2 linked regions of the Kluyveromyces lactis genome follow. The protein of the gene in region 2 purifies or fractionates together with the protein of the main gene of each other region. This does not show direct contact. Links are inferred from orthologs where the notes say so. Each region holds a gene or a part of one and is shown on either strand. Other genes may lie near its edges.

Region 1 (2,062 bases), on a different chromosome or scaffold from region 2:
CGTATGGTGGGGAGGCGACCGTTGATGGTTATAATAGTGAGACTAGATTAAAACTTACAGTCAAAAAGGGTTCTCTCAGAGCAGAGCCTAACATCGGAAAAGTTAGAGCGAAATTGGATTCTCAAGCCTTGAGATTCTACCCAACACAAGTGTTTTCAAAAATAGCTCGTGTCCACCCTCTCTTCTTGTCAAAAATTACTTCAAGATATTTGGTCAATGATTCTAAAAAGAAAAGCCATAACGTCGGTTTGATGATCAAATTCAAAGCAAGAAATCAAAAAGTTCTCGGTTATGCCAGATGCAGCTCAAACAAATGGGAATACTCTGACGTCGCTCTTGGTTTGTTAGAGCAGTTCAGATCTACATTCCCTGAGTTCTTTGCGAAACTTTCTAACTCGAAGGAACAAGCAATTCCATCGATCACTGATCTCTTCCCTAACAAATCTAGCGCGGAAGCTGATTCCATTTTGAAAACAGTGGCTGATTGGCTCTCAGAAGCAAGAAAACCATTCGTGGTGGTGTCTTTGGAAAGTGATTCGCTAACCAAGGCTTCGATGGCAGCTGTTGAATCTGAAATCATAAAATACGTTTCTTTACCAGATTCAAGCGAGCAGAAGAAATTAGCTAAGGTCCCACGTGAGGCAATCTTAAATGCGGAATCGTCATATGTTCTATTGCGCTCCCAAAGGTTCCACTTAGGTGATAGGGTAATGTACATTCAAGATTCAGGCAAGGTTCCACTTCACAGCAAAGGTACTGTCGTTGGCTACACTTCAATTGGCAAGAACGTCTCAATCCAAGTTCTATTTGACAATGAAATAATTGCAGGAAACAACTTTGGTGGTAGGTTGCAGACCAGACGTGGTTTGGGATTGGACTCTTCCTTCTTATTAAACTTGTCTGATAGACAATTGGTATATCATTCAAAGGCATCGAAGAGTGCTGATAAGAAACCAAAAGCAGTTCCTAATGATAAGCAAGTCGCCCTCGCAAAAAAGAAGAGAGTGGAGGAACTCAAAAAAAAGCAAGCCCATGAGTTGTTAAATCATATCAAGAAGGATAACGCGGAATCAAATACCGAATCTGGATCCGCTCCGCAAATAGCAGTTAACACTTTAAATCCTTCGGCTGCTAACAACGTGTTCAATGCCGTCTTGAACCAAATCAAACCAGGTTCTCAACAGCAAATTCAACCACCTCCAGCAAATTCTCTGCCTTACAATTTCACTGTTCCCCCACATATGGTTCCTGGTGGTATTCCTCATCCTCTTATGATGCAGCCGCCTTTCATTCCGAATAATGAGCATATTGCTTATGCAGCTCCTCCTCAGTCACAACCTGTACAAAATCCACCATTAGATAAAGAGGCATCCAGGAATCTTAAGAATCTCCTAATTAGAGATGAGAATGGACGTACAGCAAATGTGGAGAATAAAGACTCAGATGATACAAAGAGATCTTCTCATTCTCGTGGCGGTCGTCGTGGCCGTAGTAATCGTGGTCGTGGTGCCTCCGGGAGGGGTGGTCATTTCAAAAATTCTCCTAAAAAAACTGAAACCTGAATGTTGGTTTGAATGGACTATTAACAGTAAATATTATATCACTTCAGTAAATAATGCTTAGTATATAAGAATAGAGACACTTTCAGGTTCAACTTTTCAAAATTCCCGGTTTGTTGTTTGTTCCTTTATTTTTTGATCAGCGATATCGTGACTCTTAGCAAACCACTTAGTTTCAAACCCATTTGATCTATCAACTCCATCCCATCTATAACCGGGAACGATACCGAACCGATTTTCTGGAAAGTTTTTCTCGTAAAGCCTTCGACCCAACAGTGACGTATTCGTTCCTCGCAGGGTGTTTCCTTGATTCAATGGATCTTCGGTTGATAATAATGCACTTTTCTCAGTTTTGCGATCAAGTTTTGATATTTGTACTTCGCCTATATTTCGTATTTTAAGTTCTTCTTCCTTACGTACTTTCGCTGTCAAATTAGCCTTTTCTCGAAGTTTCAATTCTTCTTCGTATCCATCTATTACCTTACCTTTTTCGTCTCTATATA
Region 2 (2,023 bases):
CTAAGAAATCCGAGTCACAACTTAGAGGCTTATCACATTTGTAGCAGGAGAAACAGTGGGTGTGCCATCTATTTCCGCCTAATTCGTACGCATGACCCATAGTAATATGGTTCGTACAACGAACACATACTGACGTCTCAGCAGCCCCCTTCGGAGAGGCAGACATACGGTAATTAGTTTTGCAGATGTAGCACGCTGTGGAGGTGATGGTCTTGTAGTGTGTTCGTTTGTCCCTGGATCAATAACTTTTTGATCTAATGGATCAAAAGCTGAAAAGAAATCTAAGATTAATCTTCGAATCGAAAGTATAATAATAACAGAACACGCACAAAGAGCACGACACACCAAAAAAAAAAAAAAGTTAATAGAGAGATGTATTAGCAGCGGCTTTATACTATGATATTTTCTTGCCACGCACCGTTAGAGAGTACTATATAAGGGAAAAGAATTCCAAGCTGTTCCTCGTGGACGGAGTAAATTCCCTCAATATGAATGTTGAGATCGAAATATAGATACGAGGGTTCAATTAACTCAAGGAATGTTTTGATCGAGAGTGAATGCAGCCCTATCTTGTTAAAATCCGAAACGTTTGAAGCGAGTTGATATAAATAAATCGTGTCTCAATCTTGATTATATATATGTACAATCGGTCCTAACCAGTGCTAAATATGGAAGTCAATTAGATAGGGAAACGTAAACAGCACACCACGTCAATTATATTCTAGCTGAATTGATATAGCATATCTATCAGCTGCAGAGAGCCACTAAGGTAAATTAGTGCTGTCTCTCAACGGTTTCGAAATGTATATATGCATTGAAACAAAATCAGGAACCAGGTTTGAGAATGTTTGAACTATGTGGTGTGCAGGCGTGATTTGGAGTTCAGTTTCTTTGTTTCAAGGTCTTAGAGTTCGAAGATTTTGGCTAAAATTGGAGTCAAAGAATGCTGGTTGTTGTCGGAATGTATCCAGGAAGAACCTTTGACATTTGTTTCCAAGCTAGAGCAATATATTACTATAATCTGCGCTGTTCCCTTCCATTCATTTAATTAATTAATTTATTACTTACTGCATATCACTTAATTCACTTTACCACAGATCACGTGACTAGAACATTCTTTCCCTTTTACTTCAACGTGAACAATGAAAAGTGAACTTTGTTAATATAACGTTGAACTGATGGAGAATGATGAGAGTAGGTTCAGATGCAAGAACTACAGGCTTCTTCATATCTTTATTTCGACGCTACCAAATTTCAAAGGCATAGATTGTTAACACATCATGGAATCTAAGGCAACGGCTTCTGGCTCCTTTTTGGAGAACATCATTGGAAAACCAGTATACGTCAAGCTATTCTCAGGAATATTGTATCAAGGTAAGCTAGAATCAATTGATGGGTTTATGAACGTCACAATGTCACAAGTGTCGGAACATTATGAGGCAGAAGAGAACGGAACTTTGCATAAATATCCTTCTGAAGTATTTCTAAGGGGATCGCAGGTGTTATACATTAGCGAAAAATAGGCTTCGATTGGGCAATAAGATTGACTTCGACCAATGACTTTTGTAAGTCGATATTATAAAGTGTCCTATTTGCTCAGAAGCTCAATAACTACAATAATATGATAATACTAATAATAATTTATATACAAAAGTATATAATTGTATACTATAAAGATGGAACGTTATCAAAGCGGAAAGTGTTAAAAAATACTACGATGCACATATATAAAGCACCAAAGCATACATAAATTTAAATTCTGATTTTATTTTAAAATAATAAGAATATGTAGATATCTAATACAATAATAATATATATTAACCTTGTACCAGTGAGTTATACATTACTCTTTTCAAATTTTTATATCATGATTCTTAAAAGAGAAAATTTATTGTCATATCGTTAGAGAAAAGGAGATCAAAGAGGTTCCTTTCGTAGTTTCTTATTTATTCTGTGATAAAGAAAGCTTTCAGATCAAACAAACCGCGAACCTCATATCATGTTGTAGTTTTTTTTTGAGAAT

Evidence for each region. The genes of interacting proteins can lie anywhere in the genome.
Region 1: the proteins of LSM6 (region 2) and XRN1 purify together in Saccharomyces cerevisiae (affinity purification with mass spectrometry; 5 studies listed by BioGRID). This does not show direct contact. The link is inferred for Kluyveromyces lactis from reciprocal best matches to the Saccharomyces cerevisiae genes LSM6 and XRN1.

What each region holds. Positions count from the first base shown.
Region 1 is NC_006042.1:2,094,035-2,096,096, forward strand, and holds the end of XRN1 (chromatin-binding exonuclease XRN1), read left to right. Parts: coding exon 1-1,562; downstream 1,563-2,062. Other genes in the region: BUD13 (Bud13p), read right to left, coding at 1,659-2,062. UniProt on the Saccharomyces cerevisiae protein: Multifunctional protein that exhibits several independent functions at different levels of the cellular processes. 5'-3' exonuclease component of the nonsense-mediated mRNA decay (NMD) which is a highly conserved mRNA degradation pathway, an RNA surveillance system whose role is to identify and rid cells of mRNA with premature termination codons and thus prevents accumulation of potentially harmful truncated proteins.
Region 2 is NC_006041.1:232,660-234,682, reverse strand, and holds LSM6 (U4/U6-U5 snRNP complex subunit LSM6), read left to right. Parts: upstream 1-1,280; coding exon 1,281-1,523; downstream 1,524-2,023. Other genes in the region: GTPase-activating protein RGA2, read right to left, coding at 1-166. UniProt on the Saccharomyces cerevisiae protein: Component of LSm protein complexes, which are involved in RNA processing and may function in a chaperone-like manner. Component of the cytoplasmic LSM1-LSM7 complex which is involved in mRNA degradation by activating the decapping step.